4 linked regions of the Arabidopsis thaliana genome follow. The protein of the gene in region 4 interacts with the protein of the main gene of each other region in a pairwise test. Each region holds a gene or a part of one and is shown on either strand. Other genes may lie near its edges.

Evidence for each region.
Region 1: the proteins of TTG1 (region 4) and NAGS2 interact in binary tests that used the Arabidopsis thaliana proteins (3 or more experiments, as listed by UniProt).
Region 2: the proteins of TTG1 (region 4) and MYBR1 interact in binary tests that used the Arabidopsis thaliana proteins (3 or more experiments, as listed by UniProt).
Region 3: the proteins of TTG1 (region 4) and RVE1 interact in binary tests that used the Arabidopsis thaliana proteins (3 or more experiments, as listed by UniProt).

Annotation. Positions count from the first base shown.
Region 1 is NC_003075.7:17,694,126-17,702,440, reverse strand, and holds NAGS2 (N-acetyl-l-glutamate synthase 2), read left to right. Parts: upstream 1-3,449; 5' UTR 3,450-3,604; coding exon 3,605-3,970; intron 3,971-4,167; coding exon 4,168-4,255; intron 4,256-4,364; coding exon 4,365-4,573; intron 4,574-4,669; coding exon 4,670-4,821; intron 4,822-4,907; coding exon 4,908-5,346; intron 5,347-5,426; coding exon 5,427-5,524; intron 5,525-5,608; coding exon 5,609-5,720; intron 5,721-5,801; coding exon 5,802-5,961; coding exon of another isoform or gene 5,962-5,969; exon of another isoform or gene 5,970-6,044; coding exon 6,045-6,262; 3' UTR 6,263-6,382; downstream 6,383-8,315. Other genes in the region: HHP4 (heptahelical protein 4), read right to left, coding at 1-526, 615-867, 960-1,225; AT4G37660 (Ribosomal protein L12/ ATP-dependent Clp protease adaptor protein ClpS family protein), read right to left, coding at 6,395-6,898. UniProt on the Arabidopsis thaliana protein: N-acetylglutamate synthase involved in arginine biosynthesis.
Region 2 is NC_003076.8:26,849,379-26,856,506, reverse strand, and holds MYBR1 (myb domain protein r1), read right to left. Parts: upstream 2,486-7,128; 5' UTR 2,399-2,485; coding exon 1,481-2,398; 3' UTR 1,195-1,480; coding exon of another isoform or gene 589-1,194; 3' UTR 501-588; downstream 1-500. Other genes in the region: CYP81G1 (cytochrome P450, family 81, subfamily G, polypeptide 1), read left to right, coding at 1-500, 589-1,194; AT5G67290 (FAD-dependent oxidoreductase family protein), read left to right, coding at 6,752-7,128. UniProt on the Arabidopsis thaliana protein: Transcription factor. Represses the expression of protein phosphatases 2C in response to abscisic acid (ABA). Confers resistance to abiotic stresses dependent of ABA. In response to auxin, activates the transcription of the auxin-responsive gene IAA19.
Region 3 is NC_003076.8:5,689,726-5,696,466, reverse strand, and holds RVE1 (Homeodomain-like superfamily protein), read left to right. Parts: upstream 1-3,474; 5' UTR 3,475-3,542; coding exon of another isoform or gene 3,543-3,767; 5' UTR 3,768-4,031; coding exon 4,032-4,064; intron 4,065-4,476; coding exon 4,477-4,575; intron 4,576-4,656; coding exon 4,657-4,768; exon of another isoform or gene 4,769-4,835; coding exon of another isoform or gene 4,836-4,854; coding exon 4,855-4,916; intron 4,917-5,078; coding exon 5,079-5,393; intron 5,394-5,489; coding exon 5,490-6,032; 3' UTR 6,033-6,241; downstream 6,242-6,741. Other genes in the region: AT5G17305 (uncharacterized protein), read right to left, coding at 3,543-3,767; autophagy protein Apg5 family, read left to right, coding at 6,646-6,741. UniProt on the Arabidopsis thaliana protein: Morning-phased transcription factor integrating the circadian clock and auxin pathways. Binds to the evening element (EE) of promoters. Does not act within the central clock, but regulates free auxin levels in a time-of-day specific manner.
Region 4 is NC_003076.8:8,368,031-8,376,085, forward strand, and holds TTG1 (Transducin/WD40 repeat-like superfamily protein), read right to left. Parts: upstream 4,818-8,055; 5' UTR 4,704-4,817; coding exon 3,678-4,703; 3' UTR 3,677-3,677; intron 3,151-3,676; exon of another isoform or gene 3,102-3,150; intron 2,977-3,101; 3' UTR 2,287-2,976; downstream 1-2,286. Other genes in the region: AT5G24500 (fantom protein), read right to left, coding at 1-685; AT5G24510 (60S acidic ribosomal protein family), read right to left, coding at 1,265-1,318, 1,396-1,608, 1,768-1,836.

The sequences.
Region 1 (8,315 bases), on a different chromosome or scaffold from region 4:
TCCATCTCTCTGGGATCCTAGTTGCATAAACCAGAGCTCCTAACCCATAAAGCAAACCCATCAAAATCTCATAACCTGTCGTGTGAAGGGCTTCAGGTTGGTCCCAAAAGATTATCAGCTTGTGAAGAATCGGAGCTAAGCCAGAGAATCCCATTCCAAAGAACAGAGACGCCCTCACCACCCGAAACTCCGGGCTTTGGAAAACCGGGAGGAGAGAAACAAGCACAGTGGCGATTCCTAAGATGGTTATGAATCCTAAGTAGAGGTTGCAGAAGAAAGGATCACACATGAAGGAGTAATAAACCGGAGGGTAGAAGGAAGTCGCTATTAGAGCTGCGATGCCGGCGTAATCAAGCCTAAGCATTATGTAGGAGACTCGCTCGGAGTGACATGAGAGGAGGTGGCACGTGCTGCTTGCTAATAGACAGAACATAGCACCACCTAGAAATGCATAAAACGGCCATCGAGTAATTGGCCTGAAGATCAAAGGAGCTATCAAGTTTGCAAGATCTTCCCTCACAGAATGCTGCAATGCAATTACAAAGATATGAACTTGGCCACATTTTGAAACAGTAATCTGCAGGAATAGAGAGAAAGATTGAGTCTTTTCTTACCAGAACACACATGTCAGTGTAGTTGCCATGAGAAAATCTTTCAGGCAAACAGTTATAAAGAAGGTCCATCACATGCCAACTAGATGGACTAGAAGGAAGGCGAGCCATGAGCTCAGAATGAAGTTTGTGGAGATCTGTTTTCCTCAACAAATCGGGTAAACGGTGTTGAAGCGAATGAAGATCCACGACACTCGGTACTTTCGTTGCAGTGTATATAGTGAGCGCCAAAAACAGGAAAAACCCAATCAAGTGCCTGCAAATCCCAAAGAACACACACACACAAACACACTCAAGGCTCTTGAACTTTAAACAAGGATACATCAAGAAACATGATTCAACACTTACGTCCAAACATTCAAAGTCTCATTATGAATGGTAAAGATGCTGAGAAGAATCTGTTTGATCGGCCATTCGGATCGGTAATGACCAATGATGTACTCATTGTCTCTTAAATAAGCAGGCAATGAATGAAACTCCACCAATTGATACTTGACTTTCTGCCATAACCTCTTCCCTTTCACATTATGTTTCTTGTCCATTGTTTCAGATGAAGCTTGTGGCTTTAAATGTTCCTTGATCTCTGCCTCATCACCCATTTTCTCTCTACTCATAAACAAACCAAACCCATAATATCAATCATACAGATCTAAATCTAGCTCAATCTGAATCATTCCAAGAAGTTAGGAATCAAAGTTTCAATTTTGAACGTTTATGCTAAATCTTGTTTTGTTCTGGATAATGAAAGTATCGATTTTTATATGCAGATTCAGCTCATTCATTACCTAAAGCTTCAATCCATAAATGGATTTGAGAAAATTACCTGAATTTCGAAAGACAAACCCTGTAAGATTTAAGAAATTGAGAGATAAGTAATTAAGAGAATTATGAGAATTTTTCTTCGATTTCGTGAAATTAGGAGAGAAAAGGTGAGATTTTGTTACCTGGATCTTCAATGCCGACGAGACAAAATCTTCTAAGAAAGATCTCTCTCTTTCTTAAAAGTCAATCAAAATAGATCTCAAGGTTTCGTTTTTGTCGAAAACAGAGAGTTCTTGTTTTGGTATGAAATCGAAGAAAGAAGAAAAAATAGAAGACGACGATGGAAGTGGAAGCTCTGAAGCCACAAAGCTTTATGAATTTTATATATTTTTATATATTTCAAATTGGGACCACTAGTTTTGTTTTGTTTATTAGTAGGACCCTTTTATTTTTCTTTATTTTCGTTTGGGCTAAGAATTTAATAGCTAGAGTATTTATTGTACGAGGATGGAAATACATCAAACAGAGAAAATGTTTTGTCGAAAATATTAACAAATATTTCTCCTATGAAATCAAGTCTTTCTCAAAAAAAAAAAAACTTATTTGATATGGGGAATTTAAATTAAGGGAAAATTAATTTAACATACCATATGAGAGCAAAAAATAAAAAATAAAATAATTGTGCTCCATGGATTCTTCTTATTAATGATTAAAATTTTCAATTAGGTGAAAAGGAAAAATTTATGATTGTGGCACATTTATTGCATTTAATCATCTTTCAACTAAAAATGGAGATGTCTATTTATGGTTTTGTTTATTTGGTCGGATTTCTTTTTTTTTTTTGTATAGAAAATATTGACAACGAATTGAATTTCAGTTCTAGTTTATGTTTGGATTTAATTTTAAAGCAAAAACTATCTATCGTTAAGAATTTTCCGAAATAAAGATTCACATTTCAGAAGATTTTTTTGTTTTGTTTCGAGTCGGTTTTGGTTATTTTCTTACATAAAATACACAGAATAATTCGAACCATAATATTGAATTGTTATTTTGGTTCACGTACGTTTACCGTTGGAGACTTTATAGCTCTTCGTTTATGCTTGTACGGATCAATAATCATGCATACTTAAGTATTTGGAAAGAAGAAGAAAAATAAAAGATTTTATCACAACATAAATAGTAACGTGAATTGGCATAAATGAATCGCAACAAACAGGTCGCAATCACAATGATAAAAATATCTACTGGCACTACTTCATAAGGAAGGATCTTGTAAGAATATTACTTTCGTTTTATTCGGATAAGCAGAAGATATTCGTTTTTTTTCTGGCTCGTTTTTTCACCTATTCAAGTTTTATGTCAATTTGGTTACGTACTCCAAATTGTGGCACTTGTAATTTGACACTCTTTATCAAAGTTATCACTTATCTTACTTGCCAACGAAACTAGTATCAGTATTCAGAGCCATTAATACAAATCAATCAAATCTTAGAGGAAGAACTAAAATGATGTACATAAATTGATGTTTTAGTTTTGCCAATTAGCATAAATAAATACTTTTAAGAATCTTTTCACATTTTTTCTCTAATAAAAGTGAAACATACACATTAAATCTTTTCACATTTTTTCTCTAATAAAAGTGAAACATACACATTAGAATCAGTTGTTCACCATATATAAAAAGGCTCGCCAAATTAAGATCTGGACATACTTAAAATGGGATTGGGCTGGTAAATATTCTAAAAACATTCCTTAAAAAGCCCACTCTGATAAGTCCGCGACTTCGAAACTCCGATGCAGACCGAAATTGGTTCTATAGTTTGGGAGAGAATGACCAGACCGGTTCAATCAATTTTCCTTCGATGGACCCAACCGAATAACTTCCATGTGGGGACACAACTTAAGCTTGTAACGACCAGACATTCAAAGAGTTCCGTCAAATAGTAATAGAGAAAGACTAAAGAAGAAAATATGGAAAAATAAACAATAAATAATAATAGAAAAAGACTATTGAAGAAAATATGGAAAAATAAACAATAAATAATAATAGAAAAAGACTATTGAAGAAAATATGGAAAAATAAACAATAAATAAAATACCTACTTACCGTGGGTCCCACTACGGTACTACTGCCGCCTTCTCCGACCGTAATCAGCCGTCACCTGCCGGTTTAGTTACAATAACAATTTAGTATTTATTTGAATTCTTTCTCTCATCGAAGTCTAAGGAAGATGGAGCGAGGAGCTTTAGTGGGTTCTTCTTCTACTTCTAGCTACTATGTTCCTTACCACTTTCGCCAATCAAAGTCGAATTTTTCGTCATTCAAACCAAAAAATAAGCTAAACCCTACTCAATTCCGGTTTAACTGTTCATGGTTTAAGCCGGTTAGTTCTATAACGGCGGCGAAATGCAATATGTTTGACTACGCGGTGACTGCAGCCGGCGATGTGGAGGCTGAGCATCCAGTTGACGACAAACAGTTTGTGCGTTGGTTCCGTGAAGCATGGCCTTATCTTTGGGCTCACCGTGGCTGCACATTCGTCGTTATTATCTCCGGCGAGATCATCGCCGGCTCTTCTTGTGATGCCATTTTGAAGGTACCGTCTTTCTTCACCGTATTATATACTTTGATTTATGAGAAAAAAGCACGCAAGGTGTTCGATTGTTTGCTTGCCTCAACTAAAGTTGTTACTATTCTTATTTTGCTTTGTTATATGATCTTTTCTTTGCAATGTGCTTGAGTTTTCAGTTCTCGTATTTGAGTAGAAGGTGAAGTGATTTGATATATGTGCAGGACATAGCGTTTCTTCATCATCTAGGAATAAGGTTTGTTTTAGTTCCTGGAACTCAGGAGCAAATCGACCAGCTTCTGGCTGAGAGAGGTCAGAATATTATAAGCTTTGTCACGATGTTAGATTCTAGACTATAAACCTTGCTAGCGTCAAGTAAATGGTTTGGTTAGCTACGAGTCTAATGCTGTGTGAGTTGCAGGACGCGAGGCTACGTATGTGGGACGTTACAGAGTAACGGATGCAGCATCTTTGCAGGCTGCTAAAGAAGCTGCAGGAGCAATATCAGTGATGCTTGAGGCCAAATTATCTCCTGGACCTTCTATTTGCAATATCCGTAGACATGGTGATCGTAGTCGTTTACATGATATAGGTGTTAGGGTTGATACCGGTAACTTCTTTGCAGCAAAAGTGAGATTTTCCACTTTTTTTATTGTTCATACGACCTTGAGTCTTATTAATGTCGTTCATAATGACCGATGATTATCTTGGGTCTTGTTGTGGCAGAGAAGAGGTGTTGTTGATGGTGTTGATTTTGGAGCGACTGGTGAGGTAAAGAAGATAGATGTAGATCGGATTTGTGAGAGGCTTGACGGTGGTTCTGTAGTTTTGTTGAGGAACTTGGGCCACTCGAGCTCCGGAGAAGTCTTAAATTGCAAGTATGCTCGCTCTTCTCCAGAGAAAAATGCTTCTTCCATTAACCTTAGAAAGATTAAAGTTTTCTAATTCCACTTTACTTCTGCAGTACCTATGAGGTTGCTACAGCTTGTGCTTTAGCTATAGGAGCAGATAAGCTTATTTGCATAATGGACGGCCCAATTCTTGATGAGAGTGGACATCTTATTCATTTCTTGACACTTCAAGAAGCAGATATGTTAGTTCGAAAACGGGCACAACAAAGCGACATAGCTGCAAATTACGTAAAAGCCGTTGGAGATGGAAGCATGGCTTATCCCGAACCTCCTAACAACACCAATGGTAATATTACTTCTGCTCAAAACGGGAGAGCCGTTTCATTTTGGGGAAACGGAAACCACACTCCGATCTTTCAGAACGGTGTTGGATTTGACAACGGAAACGGATTGTGGCCTTGTGAGCAAGGTTTTGCTATTGGTGGTGAAGAAAGATTAAGCCGCTTAAACGGTTATCTTTCTGAATTGGCTGCTGCGGCGTTCGTCTGCAGAGTGAGTGCTTTTTAAACGTTGGTCTTGATTCTACTTGCCACCATTAAACTGAAACCGTTTGCTTTGCTTCCCTTATGAAGGGTGGAGTCAAAAGAGTTCACTTGTTGGATGGTACTATAAGTGGAGTTCTATTGTTGGAGCTTTTCAAAAGAGATGGAATGGGAACTATGGTTGCTAGGTACATTCATTCTTTTCGTCTTCACTCGCATATACTCCTGGCTTTTTCGTGTTCTTACAATTCTATATTGCCTGTTACGTGCAGTGATGTTTACGAAGGAACCCGTGATGCCAGAGTGGAAGATCTAGCAGGAATTAGACATATAATCAAACCCTTGGAGGAATCAGGGATTTTAGTTCGCAGAACTGATGAGGAGGTAACAACCCTTACTATCTTCAACATCTCATTGTTTCATCGGTTTAAAAACACTGCTAAAGGGTTTGATCTTTAAATGCAGTTACTGCGAGCTTTGGATTCATTTGTGGTTGTGGAAAGGGAAGGACAGATCATCGCTTGTGCGGCTTTGTTTCCGTTCTTCAAAGACAAATGCGGAGAAGTTGCTGCAATCGCGGTTGCATCAGATTGTCGCGGTCAAGGCCAAGGCGATAAATTGCTCGGTGAATAAACTCAAACCCTTTCTGTTACATTTGCAAAGCAAAGCCAGAGAACCTCAATGCAACAACACAATCTATTTCTGCAGATTACATAGAGAAGAAAGCTTCATCTCTCGGGTTAGAGAAGCTGTTCCTACTCACAACGCGAACAGCGGATTGGTTTGTGAGACGAGGGTTCCAAGAATGCTCAATAGAGATCATACCAGAGAGTAGAAGACAAAGAATCAATCTTTCAAGAAATTCAAAGTATTACATGAAGAAGCTAATCCCTGATAGAAGTGGCATTTCAGTTATGAGAATCTAAGCAAGAAGATGACACACATTAAGCAAACACACAGAACCATATTGTAAAATCAATATTCATAATTCTCAAAAGCTTTCAACATTGTTTGATTTCGAAAAATTCAAAATACTTATTTTGATCTCAATCTCAGTTTCATTCCAAAGCTACAATAGCACCAACCGCTTTGAGTTTCTCCATGATCTTCTCAGCTTCTTCTTTAGTAAGACCATTCTTCACAATCACTGGGGCTTTCTCAACCAAAGCCTTAGCTTCTTTCAATCCCAGATCCGTGAATGCTCTGATCTCTTTTATCACTTTAATCTTCGAAGCCGCTTCGAATTTCTCAAGCTTCACATCGAAAGTAGTCTTCTCCGCCGTTTTCGTCTCCGTAGAAGCTGACGCGTCGCCGACAGATCCGGTAACAGCTACGGCGGAACCGTAGCGATTGAGACCTATTTTATGGCTGAAGAGGAGTGAGTAATCGTAAAGCTCAATCCGATTCAGTTTGAGTAAATCGTCGGCGATTCGCTCGAGTTTCTTCGTTCGAGCTTCGGGAGAAGCGACGGCGCATAGGTGACGAGTAGCGGAGGATAGCGGCGTCGTACGGTGGAGGTAACCGAGAGATCTCGAGAAAATTCCGGAGATCGGAGCTCGCATTTTCGCCGGTGAATGGAGGTTTTTGTTAGGGTTTTCGCCGTCCGTTCAATTTCATTTCATTTTGCCGGTACTTTTTGCTCGTCAAATAAAATGGGCTGTCTAAGGCCCACATAATAAGGCCCATAACGAAAACAACTAGTATGCACCCAAATCAAACCCAACCAAACTAAAAGGATGAAAAAAGTAAATATATATATATGTTAAAAAAAATTGAATATTTGTTTTTTCTTTGGGAACATAAAGACTACTTAAGCTAATGAAATCAAGTTTTTCTGTTTGAACTCATAATTAAATAAATTAACCTAAACTTCATAGGATTAATATAGACATTCCCTATGATTATGAATATAGGCATTTTATAGTTAGATGAGTGTAATGGTCAAGTCGTGGTACAAGGGGACCCAACAAGGTTTTGATTCTAGTTAAAGCAAAATTGGGCCAAGCAATAGACTTTTATTTCGCTAATTTGCTTTTTGCATGACTTTATAAACAAGAAAACAGACCAAAAGAAGATAAATTGTTATAAAAAGATTAGCTTAAAAAGCGAAGCTAAAAAGATCGTACCGATATTAACATGGGGGAGGCAAAAGCCTTCATCAAAAGATGCAGGGAGAGAGGAGTTGTAGTGAAACCAGCCACATATCTCAAAAGCAGTTCCCACTACTTTTTTCATATTTATAATTCAAAAAAACAATACTATATAAACGTTAGTATCAATGGATTTAACTATTTATTTCAATTATTTACTTTTTATGGGCTGTTTTCTAAATAAAAACATGATGGGTAAGCGGGGCCATGAACATTCGTAGGTATATGCATGTGTAATCCATTGAAGACATAATAACATTATATATGTATGAATCAAATAAAAGACTGGTCCCTTTATCTCTTTTATAAAGCAAAAGGTGAAAGAGCCATTATTAAAAAGGCAATATATATTAATGGTTTATACTTCTCAAGAACGACAAATGAATAAGTATAATGTTGTGAAATTAATCTTCTTGTATAAAACATTGTTTTTTTGTCTTTGTTTCTTGTAACAAAGGCCGTTACCAATAAGTGAATATTGCAATTAGATAGCATCGCCAAATTCAATCGGTTAGTTGGCTCATATTAGTGATCCATGTTTAGCCTAATAATATTGTACTAAAACACAGATGATGCATGCAGTTGAGAAAGTATTTTTGAGGTCTAATCGTATATTCCAGTGTTTTGAGTTTGATAATGTATAAATGTAAAATAAGCCTTTCTTGTGTGAGAGTCTGTTCACCTCTAATATTAATCGCTCACTAGGATCATATATATGTAAACATACCTTAATAAGATCGATTATGAATGATCAAAAGCATGACAATATACATTTCAGAAGCGTGCAAGCCACTAGAGGTGCATTCACGAGATTCCAACTAAGAGATTC
Region 2 (7,128 bases), about 18 Mb from region 4:
GCCGTTTCTGCGCCGTAGATATCTTGTCCACCGCTCGTCTCAGAGACTTTTCGGATATACGGAGAGACGAAGTGAGAGCTATGATTCGGAAGATCAACGTGGAACTGGTAACATCAGGAGGCAGTGTCAGATTGAAACTCCAGCCGTTTCTTTATGGGCTTACGTATAACATCCTAATGAGCATGGTCGCTGGAAAACGAGAGGAAGACGAGGAAACTAAGGAAGTTCGGAAGCTGATTAGGGAGGTGTTCGATTTCGCTGGTGTTAATTATGTCGGAGATTTTCTCCCGACTCTGAAGCTCTTTGATCTTGATGGATACAGAAAGAGAGCAAAGAAACTCGCTTCGAAATTGGACAAGTTTATGCAGAAATTAGTCGACGAGCATCGGAAAAACAGAGGAAAAGCAGAGCTTGAGAAAACGATGATCACTCGTTTGCTGTCTCTTCAAGAATCAGAACCTGAATGTTACACTGATGATATCATCAAAGGGCTCGTACAGGTACATGAGTTTTTAATTCCTATAATTTTGAATCGTTAATAGGAGTGATCAAGATTGATTCATCAAAGATTCAAAGGATTCATTGCAGGTGATGTTGCTTGCTGGAACGGACACAACCGCAGTGACGTTGGAGTGGGCTATGGCTAACCTTCTAAATCATCCGGAAGTTTTAAGGAAACTCAAAACGGAACTAAACGAGGTTTCGAAAGAAGGGCGTGTGTTTGAGGAATCAGATACTGGCAAGTGTCCCTATCTCAACAATGTGATCTCTGAGACTCTTCGTTTGTTTCCGGCGGCGCCCTTACTTGTCCCACACGCTTCATCCACTGACTGTGAAGTCGCTGGATTTGACATTCCACGTCGCACCTGGCTATTTATCAATGCGTGGGCTATTCAGAGAGACCCAAATGTATGGGATGACCCAGAAACTTTCAAACCAGAGAGGTTTGAATCAGAGACCCATCGTGGTAAGTTTCTGCCTTTCGGAATCGGTAGGAGAGCATGTCCTGGTATGGGCCTGGCCCAACTAGTACTGAGCTTAGCTTTAGGCTCATTGATCCAGTGTTTCGATTGGGAGAGAGACAATGACGTTGCCGTTGACATGTCGGAAGGAAAGGGTCTTACCATGCCCAAATCTGTGCCTTTAGTTGCCAAATGCAAGTCTTTACCAATCCTCGACAAACTTGTTCTTTAACTGGATCATTTATCTTTCACTTTGTGATACTTTGTGTATTAATTTGATCTATTATCATCATTAAGCGTAGTTATAAATAAAAATTTATTTTATTTTCCTGAATAGCTTAAGAGAAATTTGATCTTCGTCTTCGTCACTACGTCCCCAGCTCTCGAGCTTTGTTCACTCGATTTCCTCTATACATTTCCTTAAAACCCAAAATTCTTAAGCCTAATCCAAAGGAGAAAAAAACAGAGCATTTTTCTTCTTCTCCAATTTAAACAGTTTCCTAATAATCTCACTTTGTCTACTCGATTCTCCCAACTCCAATTTGACTCATCGGAATCATGCCATTATCAATGAATCCTCCGACGAATCCGCCACCATTGTTCCGTTGCATCTCCGTCATGTAACTCCTCACTTCCGCCTTAATCATCTCTTGCACCACCGCCATAAACTCGCCTCCGTTACCGGGAAAAGACTTCCCCATTTCCTCAATCGCACCTCTAAACCCACCACTAAACGGCATAAACGACACCGTATTGTTGTGGTTGTGGCGGCTCGAAGTGGTGTTGTTGATATTCGTTGACTCGTGGCTACGGTTTGACTCCTCGCTTACGTCGGCACCAGGAAGTGACAAGCTTAACGAAGTCGGTGGATCATCGGAAGAAGACGACGTTTCGATAGGAAGCGGTAGCACAACAGCACCAGGTCTAGGCACAGGCTTGAAAAGCTCAACGGAAGGTAATATCGGGATAGTACTTGAATCACTGACATCAGATCCAGTTGGGCTTCCTGGGCTCATGTAAAGCCCAGTAACAACAGGTGGAGATCCCGCACTCACCGATCTCTTAACCGGCCGATGATCCTCCGAACCATCGTAACCCCGATGGTCGTAACCGCCGCATTTCCTCTTGAGCGTCGAGTTCCAGTGATTCTTCACGGCGTTGTCCGTACGACCGTTGAGAAGACGAGCAATCGTCGCCCATTTATTACCGAACTGAGCGTGAGCACGTGCGATCGTCTCGTCTTCCTCAGCCGAAAACGGCCGATGCTCAACTTGCGGCGAAAGCTGGTTGCACCACCGTAAACGACACGATTTCCCCGATCTACCGGGAATAGATTTGCTAATCACTGTCCAGTTTCTTGGACCGTATTTAACAACAAGCCTACGAAGCTGCTCGTCTTCTTCAGGACTCCATGGACCTTTGATCCTATCAGCCATTGATTTTGGAATGTTTTATCAAACTTTAGCAATCTTCTCCTCTTTAGTGATTTTGGTTTTGAGAGATGAACCAAAAACAAGTTCGAGAAACTAAAGAGAGGACAAAATTATTTATACAGAGATTTAAGAGAGGAGGATAACCGGAAACCGGTTAAGACGGTGGAGAAGTCATGGGCAACGCTTCTTCCACGCAAGCGGTTTTTCAAAGTTTGCGGTACAGCTGTAAGTGGACACGCGTCGAAGCCTGACTACGTCGATGTGTCTTTTTTGTCGTTTTCGTAATAATTTTGTTCAAGATCAGCAATTTCGTATAGTTGAGCGTGGAGATCAGTCGAGTCTCAAAGTATGAGTTTGTGAGTACACGCGCCATTTAAGCGCGTGGCGAAAGTAAGAAGTTAAAGAGACAAAATCACGAAACCCAACTAGCAAAGCCATGATAATATTCGCACAATTTGAGGTGAATTTAAATTTTTTTATAGGGGAAATAAAAATGAAAAAGAAATATCTGAAGAAAAAAATAAAAAGATGATAACGGTTAGGTTTGGGTAAGGACAGTTTTTATTTATTTTTATGTTTAGTCTTGACTTTAGAATAGCGAAGCCAGGCTGTATAGCACTTCACATAAAAACTTTATGATAATATCTACTTTACATATAACCGATTTTCCGGGTTGAAAACTAATCAAAATTATTGACCACAAATTTCATTACTAATAAAGAAAACAAATTGTCACTAAGAAGGTATAATTAATTACTAAACAACACACAAACACCTAATTCATGCATATAACAGTGCATGACAAATTGACAATACTAAATCTATATATAGTTGCTCTATGATCATAAAAAGATCTAAACCTCAATAATTTGAAACGAAGCTGGATTAAAATGGGATTGACAAAGAACCGTGTGAGCGATATTAAGTGAATGTATAAAAATGGTTAGATATTAATGTTCGGTTTAGGAAACGTGATGTAAAATGTGCGGTTAACAAAAGATAGGAGGTTTTGACGTGGCAGAAAACGACAACATAGGTTGCCGAATTGGAACGCAAAATCATCACTGCCTTTGTTTCCTGAAATATATTTAATTATTATATCGAAAATACGAATAGAAACAGCCAGGCTGTATAAAACTTGTTAATCAAACAAAAACAATTAATAAAACACTAACTGTCATCCATTTAAGAACTGCCACGTGTCGGTCGTAAAACGCGGGTTTTTAAAAGCTCTTTGTTCTGGTATGTACGGTACGAATCAGGTCGGTAAACGTCAGGTAATGTTCATGCACGCTCCCTAACCTTCCCTCTAACGGTTCATAATTCTCCTTTTAATTAAACTATAGTATTGTTAGTTCTTAATAATTCAAGTTTTTACGTAACCCCACCAAACATTTGAATTTATACCTTTTGAGTTATATATCTACATTTTTGTCGATTTGTTGATAATCTATTAGACATCAGGAGTTTAATACTTTGAGTGAATTTGATAATTAATAATGCCAAGAGGTTATTGTGATGGGAACAATAAGCTCTAGATGTAACCTTGCGTAGTTATTATATTGGGTTTACGTGTTCGTTTGTGAGACTCAACTATACTACTATAACCTTGCTCGTTGTTTCTATTATCAATGGTCCGAGTGTCGGTTTTGGTCTCCTTGTTTTAAATATTTTATTGAAGTCGTTTTACAATTACCAACTTTTCCTTAAACCAAAAAATAGATCAATAATGGTTTTGATTGATGATATTGATGGTTGATTGACGGTGTCTTACTCACTCGAAGATTAGACAATTACCAAAACGATTTTATTCGTAGTCCACCAAAAAAACAAATCAACTGTGATCATTTTTCATATCTATTATAAATGACTACTATAGTATGACATTTTGAAAACATTTGTAACGAATAATCATCACAACATATAGTAAACTGAAAATATAACATGCAACAATCTAAAGAAAAAACCTAAAATACACAACGTACAGCCTCAATTATTGAAAATATTTTGTTTTCTGGTATGATAAATTTTGTGATTGAAACGACCACCGAGAAGTTCATATGAACATAGAAAACATTAAAGAAAACACCGTCCATATATTATTTTATTTAAGACACACCGTCCAAGATTACAACTGTATATTTTTGGACCAAAAAATCATTGCCCCTCTTGTGGAAAAGAGATAGTGGTGCAGAAAAAAAGGCACGTGGAACATGACCTAATTCGGCTAAATACAGTTTTAAAATTCAAAAACTTACGATAACCGGACAAAGATTTAACAGCTGTTTTCCAGTATGTCCACGTGTCCATGAATTATCCTTCCACGTGTAAGTTTGAGTGACGTGTCATGCTAATTATTCTTAACAAAGGCAAAACTACTCTTGTCTTGTTCCTCCTGTCGTGTAAGCTAGCAACTGTAATTTTGCTATTGGTCTACTAACGTGTTTAGATATTCTTCCACTTGCATTACCTTTTCTTTTTATTCGACATTATAGAATGTATTAATTGTTAACGGTTTAGGGAAACTACTTAATTATATGGTTTACAAACAAAAAAAAAACATAATGGTGTCAACAAAAAAAATCACAAAGGCAATAAATTAAAGAAAACAGGTGCATGTGGTTCGTTTACTTAGTTGCATAGAATAGAAAGATGCTGCTACAAAATATCCTTCCGTGTTCTCGCTTATCCTTAAGCCGTATGCACATTTTGTACCTTCACCTTCCACACGTGTGCATGTATATATCCACACGCACTACAAATCTGCATTAATGGTACGGTCATCGTTGAAACGACTACGTTCGGTGACCTTCGTGCTTAAGATAAATTTTGTTGGTCTTCTGATGTATATGCTTAAGCCACACACACCTAACACCTTCACTAAAGCTTGATTGAAAAGCGATTCTTTGTTGGACGACAAATAAAAAGTTACTCTTTTCTTCTTCTTTTTGTATGTGTGGAATCAAAACGTTTAATTTTTGTACCTACCAAGTACTATTTCATCTTATATGTTAGAACTTACCGATTTGTTGGATTTTTTAGAATTCTGATATCATATGATATTTCCAAAAAAACTTATTTAAAGATTTGCTTTATTTCGTCTTCAAATCTGAAATTTATCGTCAACTTTGTAAATCAAATGTTAAAAAATTTCAAATGTAGAATTGGGATATTAAAAACTTGATCATTTTGATAATATCTATATACTATAACTCTATAAGATAATGCATGGAATCACGTTTTACGACCAAGCATCATAAGAGTCATGAACGGGCAAAAGCGAGGGCAATATAAAGCTAGAAACAAAAGGACAGATTACTACATGAAAGTGTGTGAAGCTTTTTCCCCACATTGGCCGCCGGCTTTTTTTGACTTAATTAATATTAACAATACTCTCTACACTGTTTTTTCTGTCAATAATAGTAGTATATGATAAATATTCTTTTCAAAACAATACTTCTCATGTGGAGAAAATATCGACCACATCATCAACTTTCATGAACAATGATCAATGGATCGACCATCACACTTGCTAAATAAGAAAGGCATAAGAAGATTATGTTGCAAATTATTAATTGAAACTCTTGGATCGATAAATATTCCATCGGATTTGAACATGAAGATAATGTGTGAACGATTACATTTTAGGTTTTCACCTTTTTAGAGTGCAGTAAATGTGTGATTAAATAGAAATTTGCTTCACTAAAACCAAAAAAGTAAGTACAATTCTATAAACAGTTCATTATTTTATATATATTTTTATAGAATTGCAGAAACTTTCCGTATAGTAAACAAGTTCAATGAACACAAAGAATGAAAGAAGCTTCTGTTTAAGTAGAGGAATAAAATGATTATAAACAGAGCGAAATTATATGTAATATTATAAGAAAAAGTTTCGGCGGGTCTATCTAACTGAAAGTTAACAACATCACAGTACCTACTAAAAATATATTGAATAATAATCATTAGGAGTGTATGTGTGGTTGATGAAAGGCCGAAGTAGAGCCGCCCTATAAATGGGCTTTTGTCGTCAAAGTGGTGGAGCCCAATTTTGGAATGGCCTATCTGATTGTTAGTTGGTCATTTGTCCTTTTCCCCCATAATTTATTTCAACAAGTCCTTTTCAACTTCTTAAAACATCTAGAATCAGAAAACTATTCATTGAAATTCATACAGAGAATATCAGTTATCACTTATCAGCTACTAAATATCATAGGAAACACAGTAACACACAATAGCGTAGAGATTATACAATAAATGGGCTTCAAAAGATCAGCCCAAAAAGAAACTAAGCCCAATAAATAATTTCTAACTAACGTGTGGACTCGGTGAGTCATCATCTATCTCATCTCGGTGATGGCGGTGATCTCATCGTTATTATTCCCTCCGGTGTTAACCCGACGAACAATCACGATCTGCTCCAACTCATCGAAATCAATGGCGGCTAAAAAACAAATCGGTGAAGAAACCTCGAAGCGGGTCTTTGTATGCGGCGGTGGAGTAATCGGCGTCTGTACTGCTTATTTCCTCGCCAAGAAAGGAATCGCCGTCACTCTCGTCGAGAAATCAGCCGTCGCGTGCGCTGCTTCCGGTAAAGCCGGTGGATTTCTCGCTTTCGATTGGTGCGATGGAAGTCCTGTTGCGCATTTAGCACGCGCGAGCTTTAAACTCCATCGATCGCTCGCTGAGGAGCTAAACGGTGTCGAATCGTACGGATACAGAGCACTCACGAC
Region 3 (6,741 bases), 2.7 Mb from region 4:
ATATCAATGATGATCAATATGTACTAGTGATCAATATCATATGTTTTTGTGTTCCAACCACTTGTTTCATTCAATAGTACTTGTACCATATTGCGCCAATTGTCCCAAATGGTTTGACCACTTGTACAACTCAAAATCCAAAAAGATAAGAAAATATGAAGATAATCATGAATGAGACATAATTAATACGGTTGGTCCATGAATAGGATCACCGGTCTGGCTTTTTTGTACACCACATATCTTTTCAATCTCTTTTGTTAGATAGAACCATTCACACTGATTTTCACAAAGTCAGAGAGAGACCTTTATCTCAAAAGAATATCTGCTTCTTCATTTATTTTGTTATCCCGTTTGGCTATAAAGCGGCAAAAACATGTTGGCGAGAAATATGAACCACATAACATACGTAGAAGCTTATAGAAAGGGATTATCTATCCAAACTATATATGTAGACCCACCCATCAATTCTTTTTCTCTTCACTAAAATAATTGATTCGTAAAATCTCTTATCTTTTTCCTACTCATGCCAAAGTCACATTTCGAATGAATTTGTACTAACATGGCTACATGTGAAATTTTGCAATTCTAATTAGGTTGAATTGGCCAACAGATTTGAGTTATAGGAAAACAATAGTATTTTGTGGTTATTTAAAAATGATCAACACTTTCAAAAATATTACAACCGTGATATATATTTGTTTAATTTCTTCTATTTTATTTATTTATTTATTTATTTGAATGTTCTCAATCCAAAAAAATAGGTTACATCGATATCACAATATTTGTATACTTATCTTAATGTAAATCTATTTGCAATACATGATTAATATAACATGTCTTGTAAATGTCTACAACATTGAAGTTACATTTGAGAATGAATGAATAACATGTGTTTACAAAATTGAAATTACATAGACAGCTTCATTTAAAAACAAAAATCTTATTTATAATAAACCAAATCTTTTTGTTTCTTCTCAAATAATAAGAAAACATTTTGGCAAAAAAAAACTATATATAATTACATGTATATAATTGAGATTATATAAACTTTGGCTTAAAAATAAATGGATGGTGGTGAAGAAAAGGGAAAATATCACAATGGTTGTCACGTGTCACTTCACACAATCCAGTAGACCAGTACCTAACATCCAGCACCACCAAGCCTAACCATAAACTCCTCAAATGACCTAAAAGGTTTTTTTAACACTTCGTTTCGACACCTGAATTGTTATCTGTTATTTTATCTTTTTCACGTCTTACGCCTCCTAAATCCTAATCGCTTAAATATTTTTTGAACATGTTCTCATCTGTTTTTAAAAAATTTGGATTTTCTTTTCACTAATGATTGTTACATTAGATAAATGTGATTTCCACTACAGGTTTGGATTTTATTGCATTAGAAAATATGGTAATAACAAATATTTTTATAAGAGATGACAAAAACAAATACTCTAAGTAGACAACAGCCACACACCAACCACTTTCTGATATTTGAAACCCTAAGTAAAGAACGAGAAGGAATTCTTGTGGCTGAGAAATTTTGTTGTATTATCAGTGAACGTGAATAAAATGAATAAGAAACAAATAAAAAGAAAACTAGTGGCTAGAACCCTCCTTCTCGTCATTCCACATGTCAAGTTTCTGTAGAACAGACGGCTAAAATAAGAATCAGTGACATGGAGAAAAGTGCACTGACATTCACTAATTATTAGTATTAGTACTATATTATAAATTAAAGTGTAATTACTTTCACTTCCACCGAGGATGACTTTTACAATTTGAGGAGTATATTAAATTATGTGCTTAACAATGATTTCAATAAAATATCTACACATTTGTGAAAATTGATGACGACCTGGACGATGGATAATCATATTAATTCGAGAAAGTTGAAACTAATTATAAATATCATAGATAGATTCGTATCTGTATATATTATATTATATGGTATGTATACGTAGACTTACGTTATGGATAGACCCCCACCATGTTTTTATATAGAGGCAGAAGATATTTAACTTATGGTTTTCGTTTTTTCGTAAAATATGAAACAAAGACAACGACAAAACGAAAAAGAACCAAAAATAGTATCTCATTCTACTTTCACTTGATTTTGGAATTTCATTTATTTAGATTGTGATTCAAAACCATTTCAACTATGTAAAATTCTGTGCAATATTTTTCCCAACTAAACATATAAGTTTGACATGAAAAAGAATATAGGAAAATTTAGAGGTCCAAATTTTATATGTATATCGGAATCATGGTAGGATACGTTATCAATTGCATTTGTATGAGGCTTGCTATTGCTAGTATAGAAGCATCATCAACAAATCTTAATATCAGTCCAAATTTGAATAACCCATTTTGTGGATCTCATTTCATAAAATAAACCATTTTAGTGTCCTGCAAAAATGTGTTTAGACAGAAATCTTTTTTAAAATCTGAATTTAGATATTATGATGGTTATAATTTATATATAAATTTACTATCAAATATTGTGTTCATATATGGAAGAATGGAGAAAAAAGAGTAGAACCCCACAAAATAAAAAATGGATAGACTATGTTTTCTAAGATTGGACAAAGTGTATAATAAAATCTTCTGATCTGGTCCAAAAATAAAATGTTAAGAGTTTTCGAATTCGAATAATTTGATTTTGATTAAGATATCCACTTCGGATATGTTTTCATATGTAGCTTTTTAAAATACCCTAATAAATATTTTCATAAAGAGTTTATGTAAATAAATCAAAATATATTTTTAACTTTTTATTTATTATAGTTTTATATATTACTGTTTTAATTATTTTGAAGTATTTTTGATAGATATGGATTTGGATGGTTCCGCAAACAAATCCTATGGATCCGGATCCAAAGAACCAATCATAAATTTTGGAATATGTCCACCCATATATGGATCAATAGAGATATAGTTAAGAAAAGAAAATGAATTTATCCCGCAAATTTACATTTTTATCTCATGTAGTGGAACCAATGAAAAGCGAGTAAGCTAAGAAGTCATACTCTCGAGAGTACGCCTTTCCATATTTTCCTTTAAAAGTATCTTCTGGTGGCTCACATTTCTCCGTCCAGCAAAATCTTTTTTGTTACATAAATATTATATTTCCTGATATTTTATATTAAAAGATTATCCAATTGAAATGATGTCAAAAAAGGAAAGGAAAAGTAGGGGAATTAAATAAATACATACAGTGATAATCGAAGTACCAAATCTAACTGTTTTAAAACAAGTAGATTCATTTTAAAAAATTAAATATTTGATTTTTCAAAGAGATAAATGAATAAATCTAGTACAAATTTTGTTGCAAAAAAAGAAGATGAAGAATATGAGAAAGAGCGACACGTGGCAAAGATGGACATTGAACGTGAGCCACAAGATTTTCCATCTGTTTCTCGAGCGTTCCATGGAAAACCAATAAGAATTATTATTTTTATTTTTTAAAAATTGGGAAAAAGCGCACATAGCAGAAGCTGACGTGGCATCACCCTCCTTTTTGTCTTCCCTATTTTCTCACCCCCCTAATTCCCTTCTTCCTCCTTCACAGACCCCAAACTCTTCTCTTCTTCTTCTTTCTCTCTGTTTTCTTCTTCTTCCGCCGAATCAGAAAGCTTGTCTTTTTCTTTACTCCGGCTACCAAAACTTCTCGGAGTTTCTCTGAGAGTTTCATTTCCGACCTTCTTCTTATCCTTATTTGCGGCAAGATTTCCAGCGAGAGTTTTTTTCTCTTTTCCTTTATCGAACATAAGAAATCTCTGGTTTGCTGGAAGTTTTTTTTCCGGAAGGTGGAAGCTTAGATTGGTTCTGATTTCAGAAGCAAATCGTTTGTTGTTGCCTAAGTAAACCGAATCAATTTATGGGATCTATAGAAACAGACGGAGAACAGAGGAAATTAAGCTGATTTTTTCAAGTCTAGATTCGCGAATTTATCTTGGTGTTTCCTTTTCTGTGTTCCACACCTTTCGAGTTTTTTTTTGTTTTCCTCCGCCGAGATCTTAATCCGGGAAGTTATGGCGTCGTCTCCGTTGACTGCAAATGTTCAGGTCTGGTCTCAAAATTTGATTTTTATCCACTTTTTTTGTTTTGTTTCTGCTTTATTCAGGTCTGGTCTCAAATGAATCTATGAGTTTAAAATACTGTATACGGACATTTAAGTAATAAAGCTTAGAGTTAAAGCAAGTTCGTTGCAATTCATTTGCAGACTCTTGTTTCTTTTGAGCTATAAGTTCTCTCTAGATTTGTGTGTTGCAACTACATTCATTTGAATCCTTGAGATGGAATCGACTGTGTTGGAATTTTGTGATTAGGATATGTAAATCGAGTTTAATTAGTTGGACTTTGTGAATGAATGTTCATTGAGAAACTGAAGAAGAAAGTAAATAATCCAATGCCACTTTGTGTCATAGTCCTTAAAATGATGTTTCCTAAAGTCGTTTTGCTTGATGATGGCTTTAGGGTACCAACGCTTCTTTGAGGAATAGAGATGAAGAAACTGCAGACAAGCAGATACAATTCAATGACCAAAGTTTTGGGGGAAATGACTATGCACCCAAGGTTTGTTTCTTTTAACATCAAATGTCAAATATTGTTATGTAAAGTGAAGATCTGTGGCTCAGTTCATCTTTTCTTACTTAGGTACGGAAGCCATACACGATAACAAAAGAGAGAGAGAGATGGACAGATGAAGAGCACAAGAAGTTTGTTGAAGCCTTGAAATTATACGGGCGAGCTTGGAGACGAATAGAAGGTAAATTAATGATTTAGTAATATCTCTTGCTACTGAGTTATGGCCTTACCTGGACCCTCAAAAATATATGTTTGTTTCACTAACAGAACATGTGGGCTCAAAGACCGCAGTTCAGATTCGAAGCCATGCTCAGAAGTTTTTCTCTAAGGTTTATACACTTATTTGCTATTATATCTTTACCCTTGTTCAAAGAAAGTATCAGTCTAATCTCTGTAGCAAACCTAAGTTCTGCATAAATAAGGAATCATTATACATACATTGTTTGGAGACTTGTGTTCTGACTTGGCTTTGTTCTGTTGTATTCACACAGGTTGCTCGAGAAGCAACTGGAGGTGATGGGAGCTCAGTAGAGCCGATTGTAATACCTCCTCCTCGTCCCAAGAGAAAGCCAGCGCATCCGTACCCTCGTAAGTTTGGGAACGAGGCAGATCAAACAAGTAGATCGGTTTCTCCCTCAGAACGTGATACTCAATCTCCAACCTCTGTGTTGTCCACTGTTGGATCAGAAGCATTGTGTTCCCTTGATTCGAGTTCACCCAATCGAAGCTTGTCCCCAGTTTCTTCTGCATCACCACCAGCTGCTCTTACAACCACTGCAAATGCACCTGAAGAGCTTGAGACTCTGGTACTTGACATAAACAAAACCGAATTTATACTTAACAGCAATACCTGCTGTTAGATGCTTAATGCTTAATATTCTTGGTTTAATCAATTTGTACAGAAGCTGGAGTTGTTTCCTAGTGAGAGACTCTTAAACAGGGAGAGCTCGATCAAGGAACCAACGAAGCAAAGTCTTAAACTCTTTGGGAAGACAGTTTTGGTATCTGATTCAGGCATGTCCTCTTCTCTAACAACTTCAACATATTGTAAATCCCCAATTCAGCCATTACCACGGAAACTCTCATCATCCAAGACACTACCCATAATAAGAAACTCACAAGAAGAACTCTTGAGCTGCTGGATACAAGTCCCTCTTAAGCAAGAAGATGTGGAAAATAGATGTTTGGATTCAGGAAAGGCTGTCCAAAACGAAGGATCATCGACTGGATCAAACACTGGTTCGGTGGATGATACGGGACACACGGAAAAGACCACAGAACCCGAAACAATGCTATGTCAATGGGAGTTTAAACCAAGTGAGAGGTCTGCATTTTCTGAGCTCAGAAGAACAAACTCCGAGTCAAATTCAAGAGGATTTGGTCCATACAAGAAGAGAAAGATGGTAACAGAAGAAGAAGAGCATGAGATTCATCTCCACTTATAACACATTTTCTTACGTACCCTAAAGAAGAGACTTTAAATTTACTATTCATTCGACTTTCTAAGTTTTCATCAATGTAATTTTTGTTGTTGTTTCATTGTTTTCTCTTGAGGTGTTTGTTCTCTAGGCTAAAATTTTCTGCAAAAGTTTGTAACTGTAAAACTCGTGTACAATTTATACAGTTAAATCTAATGATTATGAGATCTTTCTTAATTGATGGTTCAACAAAAGCAAGTTTCAGGTGTCTCTCTTCAATATCTCCGATTAAATTAGGTTTGGTAAAGAGTTTGCTTTGAAATGAAGGCAAAGAAGAAAAACAGTGAGGTTACCACCAACTGAACAAGTGTGTGTTCAAAGTTCAAACCCAACAAATAACCGAACCGATTCGGAAACCAACTCTAACCTGAAATTTTGATAGAATTTGACCAGACCAAATTAGACCGGTTAACACCCTTTCACGTTAGCCACCAACAGATTAAGCAGTGTCTAACGTACGCCTTATTAATACCACATAAAGACGCAAGAGAAGATGACGTCATACAGAAACAGCGTCGTTTTGAAAGCTGAGTTTTTTTTGTGAAGCGAGCGAGCGTGAGAAGGTGTGACGGGGAAGAGAATGGCGAAGGAAGCGGTCAAGTATGTATGGGAAGGAGCAATTCCTCTGCAGATTCATCTCCACAAATCCGACGTCGCTTCTCACCCTGCTCCTCCT
Region 4 (8,055 bases):
TCACTTTCCAAACATTTCTCCTCCTGAAAACAAGTTTCTCAGATTTCCAAATCTTAAAGCTAGTATCAATCACGGTCACTTCACTTCTCGAAAACCCAACTAGATCTTTCTCTCCTTTCTCTTCTTCCTCATCCACACCATCACCTTCCACTACACTTCTTCTCCTCTCCCTAATCTCCGGCGCCGGAGGTTTCTTATTGTATGAACTACGCGACGATGAAGTAGCGAATTCACGAACACTAGGGAGACAATTAGCGTCGTCGCTTTTCTGATTTACCAACGGAACAACAACGTCTTCAGGAGTCTCTAAAGAGCAATGCCTAGGGTTTGATTGTTTCCTTGGTAACTTCTTCTTCCCGGGAATTGTGGAAGATTTAGAGGAGCCGCTGAAATTGAATAGCTCGAAGAGAACATCGCTCATCACGCCGTACCATTCTCCAGGAACTGGCTCCTCCGATGGACTTTCAGCTAATTCTGGATCTGAAGGAATTGGAGCAGATGGAGGTGAATCGGAAGCGGAACTAGTGGCGGCGATTTCCGTGTGGTGGTTGCGGCGGAGAAAGTCGTCGAGAGTAAGTGGATTGCCAGAAGCATCGTCATCGTCGGTTGTGAGGCCTCTGTTTAATCGGAGGCGGTTGAGCCAAGTGGAGGAGGCAGGTTTGTCGTCGATGATGGAGCTTAGCATCGGAGACGACGAAGATACAAATCTTGGCTCGTCTTTGTTTTGTTTTTTTTCTCTCTGCTGTGAATTTAAAAACAGTGCGCCGTTTGGATTACAGGAAAACTACAAATGAAAATCCTGAGTTCAACTACGCGTCGTCTTCTTATTATCATTTTTTTTTTTGGTAACAATAAATACGTCTTCATATGGTTTTGTTTTTATAAATCCAAAAATACTAAAACCAAAAAACATTGAAAAGCGGATTTTTCTCTATCTTTAATCTCTCGTAGTACTAATGTTAAAGCGGATTTTTTGGCACGAAAAGTTCGTACCCAACCGCTTCATATTATATTTGTAAACAACATTCCTCAGGATTGGCTCGTTTGAGTCCTAATTAATTTTCGGATGACAAAAAAAAAAAAAACATTGAAAAAGAAATTCCCCCATATTTTTGTTGTTGTATATATTTATTAAACAATAGCCAATAATAGATTTGATTTATTTTTGTTGTCTCTCATAAACAATCAAATAAATTGTAAATAATCAAAATATTCATATGAGGCAAAATTCATAAAATTTGGAAGCAAAGAAAAAGAAGCTCTTCTAGTCAAATAATCCGATTATCATGTCATCTTCACTCTCTTCTTTGATCACCTCCTAAGATTATAAAACAATTATACCATTTAGTATTTGATTTAGTAGTTTGTTGTAATTAATAATGTGATAATAAATACCATCTCATTCTTCTTCTCCTCGGGAATAGAGACTGATTGAGAAGCGGTAGGAGCAGCAGTGGTAACTGGACGAGCCACACCACAACCACCGGCTCCTACATTCATGATGAGATCGTCGATGTTCTTCTTCTCACATAGCTTAGCAAAGAGGCTAGGCCAGTATGACTCGACATTCACGTTGGCTGTTTTCACCAGTTTTGATATGTTCTCAGCCTAATAATTTTACATTATTACAACACTTAAGTGAGATCAGTTTGAAACCACAAGGCAAGAAAAGAGAGATGACGATTCTAGAGACTAAAACATAGGCTAAACAGTGTCTCAATAGCTAGAAAACAAATTTGAAGAAAGAGAGAAGAGAAGAAAACTAACGGTGATCTCGATTCCATCATCGTGGAGGATGAGAGCAGCATAAGTGCAGGCGAGCTCACTGGTCGACATTCTATCTACCTTTAACCTCTTTGTACTCTAAGTTGTATTATTATCGCTTGCATTTTAAGTTTTGAGGACGTAGGTATTTTATATTTGGGCTAGAATTTTGTAAAATTTAACCCATCACATAAAATCTGACAAGTAGCTTGATCTTAATTGTAACAAGATCACAACAAATTTAAAAACATTTTGACACATGTCAAATAGTTACATTTTAGAGTATACATTTGTTCCTAAATCTAAAAGATTTCATAAGCTAAATTTTCTATTTTGATCATCTTATAAATTGAAAAAAATATGAGTATCCATGTTTTCCAAATCACTTCTCAAACCATTAGAAAAACTCTATTTATATACAAAGAAACACATTGTGATTATTAGAATAAAATAAATAAAATTTTAAGTATGGTATGATATTATGGAGACAAAAGTTAAAAAGTAAAATTTTCATTTATAGTATATAGATTTATAACATTTTGGAATTCTACTATTAATGGTTTATAGATTCTTATATTTCTAGAGGAGATTATCGGATCAGTGATTTAAATTAATTCTCATTTTTTATAATTTTCAAGATTGAAAATTTTGCTACGATTTATAAGACTTCAGATGTGAAGATTCTAAAATATTTGTGTCAAACATTGGATTGTTTATAATAATTTACTCACCAAATTCCCATTGGAGTTCATTTCAAATCTTTGTGTCACATAGTCGACTGAAACTCCATTGAAATTCAATTTAAATCTGTGTCAAATAAACAAATAAGTCTTCCAATGGAATTTATACTGCAAATCTTTGTGTTAATTATGCAAAGAAGTTAATTCAAACTGACAAACTCCATTGGAATTCATTGCAAGCTGATTTATCTTAGAGACGTCCAATAAAGCAAGACAGGGTTGCATTGTACTAAGCTCCAATTACCAAATCTAAACACCAGAAACCGCAATATATCCTGGTTGGGTTTTATACACAACATAAGATAATAGTATCATTTGGTTCATCAAATGAATTCAGTTTTAGTTACAATCAGATAGATACAGAGTCATTGCGGACCTAAAAGCGAGAGGGAGCGCAAACCAAACCTACTTACGCACATGACGATTATACGGGTCTATGCTAAAATCCTTATTGATCACTTCACATCTGCACCTGACATCAAGTGAAATGTATAGTAATTATAAGGAAAGGTTATTTGATTTTCTAGGTTGCATATGTGCGTGTATATATGCAATGCTGTTGTCTAAATGAGTTACAAAAACCTGAAGCACACATACAAAGATGTTCAAACCAGCATGAAGTTTCCAATTCCACTTCTATATGTTTCTGAGGGCATACAGCACAGTCAGCAGTAAACAATTCTCAGATACTTCGTTAAATTAACAATATTTGTATACGTAGCTAGTGGCTTCGTTAAATTAAGAATAGATTGTCTCAAAAAAAAATAGACTGAAGAATTATGGGTAAAAATTAGAACCTGACGAGTGTACAACTATTCATCATATGATACATCAACTTAGATGAAAGCCAACATATGACTACTACACTATCAGCCATTACAGCAAGTGTGAGACCTGTCGCTAATAAGAGCCAATATATATGACTACTAAACTGTGATTTATGTATGCATAACAAAGTAATTGATTTTAACAGAGATATTGATTCAGGTAAATCTAAAACGAGTTAGTGTCAAATCTCTAGTGGCTTTGTTATCAAGAATCGAAAAAACGTTTAGTTACCAAACCTAGAAGACTATCTGTAATGCAACACAATCTAAACCAATAATCAATGCTTCCTCATTAGAATCTAGGCCTAGCAAATGAGAATTATGTAGCGAAACAGAAACTCTCACCTCAAACTCTAAGGAGCTGCATTTTGTTAGCAAAAGCAATACCAATCCAATCAGGCTGCGAAGAAGACCACTGCAACTGATTAATCTCCGAACCAGCCGAATAAACCGACATCGGATCAATCCCATTGGGTCCAGCAACAGTAGGAAGCTCCCAAATAAGAGCCTGTGTATCATCACCACCAGAACAAATATGTTTACAGCTCTGAGGCGCCCAAGCTATAGCATTCACACTAGCCTGATGTCTTTCAAGCTCAGCAACAGGCATAGTCGGCGAACGAATATCGAGAATCACAACCTTATTAGAATCCATCAAAATCGTAGCCATATATCTAAGATCTTGTTTGTTCCAAGCAAGTCTTAACAAAGGCGTATCAGGCTGAGGACTCTCGTAAATGATTGTAGAATGTTCCTTATCACGTAAATCAAAGATCCTAACGGATCCATCAGCAGAGACTGATGCGAAAACCCTAGCTTCTCCCCAAGCAATGTCATGAACCTCTTTATCATGAGCTATAAGCTGAGTCTCAACAACAGACTTCTCAATATCCCAAATCGTACACGTCGTATCAATACTACAAGTTCCGAGACGTTTCGGCTCTACATCGTTCCAATCGAAGGAAGTCAACGGCGCACAAAACTCGCTCGTTTTGCTGTTGTTGAGAACCGAGATTGGCTCGACGGTTGATGAATCTTCGTTAATTTCCCAAAGACGGAGGAAATCGCCGGAGGAAGCGAGGAGATCTCCGGAGGAAGGACGACGGAGAGAAGGAGGACTGAACATTAGCTTTGTTGGAGGATAAGGATGCTCGAAGGAGAGATTCGGGAGAGGCTTAACGGTCATTGAATCGGAATCGAAAGAGAGAATGTCGATGCGGTTGTTGTAATCTTCGAGGAAGCTTCCGACGGCGATTCTGTGACCGGAGGATGAGCGGAGAGAAGAGAAAGCCATGGCGTAGAGTGGATATGGTGAGTCGTATGTGACGGCGGTTTCCGATCTGGATAACGAATCTGGAGCTGAATTATCCATGGAAATGTGTGGTGCTGATTCGATTCGAGATTTGGCTTCTTCACGACGAAAGTGAGAGGAGAGTTTTGAGGTCAGTGTCAGTCGGATTTTTCAAGAGACGGAGAAATAATCAATGGAGACGGCGTAGATATAAACCCTCTGGATTAATCAGTATCTTTTAATGTATCTATTGATAATGGGCTTCTGTATATTCAGATAATGGGCCTTTTATTTTAACGTTAAGAGCTATAGAATGGCCTAATTATTGGATCACTAGGATGACATGAAACACTAACAACATTAATATGTGACACTCTAATCATTTTACTAACAATTGTCTAATTCAGCTAAAATAAATTGTTTGTGATTAAGATAATCAACAATCCTTTTTTATTATTATTATTAAGAAAATGTAAAATTTATTCGAAAAAAGCTTTTAACATTCGGTAAATAATTTGCATACAATTTTTCAAGAAAGTTCTACTCCCCTTTAGTGTTTATATTAAAGCAAACCAAGCTTCCATGCATTCATCGTAGCTTCTATCTCCTTGTTCACGAATAGAGAAGATCCAGATTCAAATTTGTTTGTCAATATTTGGAAGCAGTTGCGCCGGCGGTAATGGTGCCTCTCCATGTCTCGTATTGTTGCTCTCTCTCCATATGGAATAAACGCGATCTCAAAGGTGTAACGTGCTAAAAAGAGATTTAGTCTTCCCAATGACGTGTCTGTGAGGGTTCTTTCAACATCACTCCACCTTGCAAGTGAATAATAAGCTTAGTTAGTCTGCTAATCTTTATCTGAAATTTGGTTGTTGGCATTTATCATAAGACATCGAAGTTGTAAATTTGGAGACAATATAAATCTAGCATTAAACACATGTCAAATGGAGGATTTATCAAGTGGTAACATAAATTCTTATCATAATCTAGCATAAGTCATGAATCAATAAATAAATAATAAAAACTAACCACTAAATATGATGAAAAGCATAAACATAACTAAAGAATATAAATAAAAGATAAGAGATTAAAAGGTGAAAAAATCTTTTACTAATTGGAATGAGAATATGAAGATCTTGATCCAAAATGTAAGAACATTATATAGATCTCAAAATTTATGAAGGGAGAAGAAAACTTAGGTTAAAAATGTCTAAAGCTTACTTAAATAAGAAAAGATTCAAATTAAACATGACTAGAATATGTGTAGAAAACTCGAAATAATGTTTTTTAAAACACATTTATGGGTTATTACGATTTTTCTGTACAATGACAGAGGTTCAAATTTAGAGGAAAGGGACATAACGAAAGACGCCCTACTTTGACATGCCCTACCTGCTTCAACCCCAAACCCACGTTTACTCCAAATTCATACTATTTGATATTACATCAATCAATACAAATAGATACATCCAATAATTCGTACATACTCGTGATATTCACTTATTTAGAATAATAGTCAATAGTTCATACTGTAATTAATAAATTAGCCCATTGACGACAAAAAAAAATGAGCTCATTAATTAGCTACCTAGTATATTATCTTGATCAAATGTTGGTAATTCAATTAGCTAGTTTTTGGGGAGAATAAAGTATGGAAGAATAGGGTGCGGTTCATAAGAGAGTTAGCTAAGGAGGTATTGGAGGCGAGAGCTAGTAGCGGAAAGGCAACACAAAGGGCTGGTCGGGTTGAGAAGCTGATAAAATGGCTTATCTCGTCTATGGGCTGGTTTAAATTAAATACTGATGGGGTATTTTATGGCAATTCGAGACTCGCGGCTGGTGGTGGTCTGATACGTAATGAGGAGGGTGAATGGTGTGGAGGCTATGCGCTAAACATAAGGATGCTTATTTTATGGCCTATCTACCAACTTGACATTAAGAATGCTTATTTACAACGTATGAGACCGTTTGCCTGTTTTCATCCCCATATTTGTGGTAAATGGTGGTTGAGATTTTGAAGACAAGGTTATGGGACTCTCATCTGCTATCATTTCCAGTACGTTTGCGCTATAGTTTTTTATCGAAAAACTAGATTGACCGTGTTTCACATATAGAGAGGCTAATCATTTTACGGACATGTTAACAAACTATGCTTGTCTTTAAGCTTTTATGCTCTTGTTTATGTTCTCCGGTGTGCGGATGAAATCTTACGGGATGATGTTTCTAGACCTGTTTGTTCAAGACGAGTGATTGTGTAATTGTTATTTTTGTTTTTTAATAGAAGTCGGGAGACATTCTCTCGGTTATTCACCAAAAATGATTTAGTAACTATGATCAAAAACTTTTGTTTGAGATTCTTTGGTTTAACAAAAAGAAAAAGAGTATGTTACCGAATTCAAATTATTAATATCCACGTAGCAATTGAATACTTAATTTTGGTATACCATATGAAATAAATATTATTTGATTATAACTAGTTTCTACATAATTTATGATTTTTATATGCGATTATGAAATCTAAGGCTATACCAAGATATACCTGATTAAAATCGATAAGATCATAAAATTTGATATCACATAAGAAGACAAAAAAGAAAGTTTAACACATATGTAACATCTCGATTTTTAAAATATAATGATGCATCTGGAAGAGTTTTAAATAATTAATTTGGTCATATATATTATTAAAATGTATTTATATTTTTGGTCTAATATTCTGAAAAGACTTTAAAAATAAAGATTTTTAGGTTGGAACAATTTTAAAATGAATAGCTTTTAATAAGTGATTTTTGGAATCATATGAATAAAAGCAAAACACGAATATATTATGTGATAATTTGTAATATTGATAAACAAATATTTAAAGTCTCTTGGATATGTATGAATAAAAACAAAACATGAAAAAGATCATGTGATAATTTGTAATATTGATAAACAAATATTTAAAATCTTTTGGATATAATAGACTGACATTTGGACAGAAAAAAATTTATATATTGGGTTCACTCCTAGAGGTGAACCTCTTTTATTTACCCCTTTTTAATTAAATAATAATAATAAACAATATGACATATCATACTATATTTAAAATAAATCAAAACTAAAATAAAAATAAAATAAAACAAATTATAGAAACAAAATCTCTACAAACCCAAGCCGACATATATATTTAATTATAAATTCTAAATCCTAATCATTCTTTCATAAACTTAAACCAAGATATAATTTTATTTAATTGTAAAATCTAAACCTAATTTTAATAAATCCAAATTAACATATAATTTGTTTAAATGTCAAATATAAATCCTAAACATTTTTCTATAAATCCAAACTAACATCTACTTTCTTTAAATCTATAACCCTAAACACTTTTTTAAACTCAAACCGATATATAATTTTGTTTAATTTTAAATCTAAACTCTAGTGACTTATT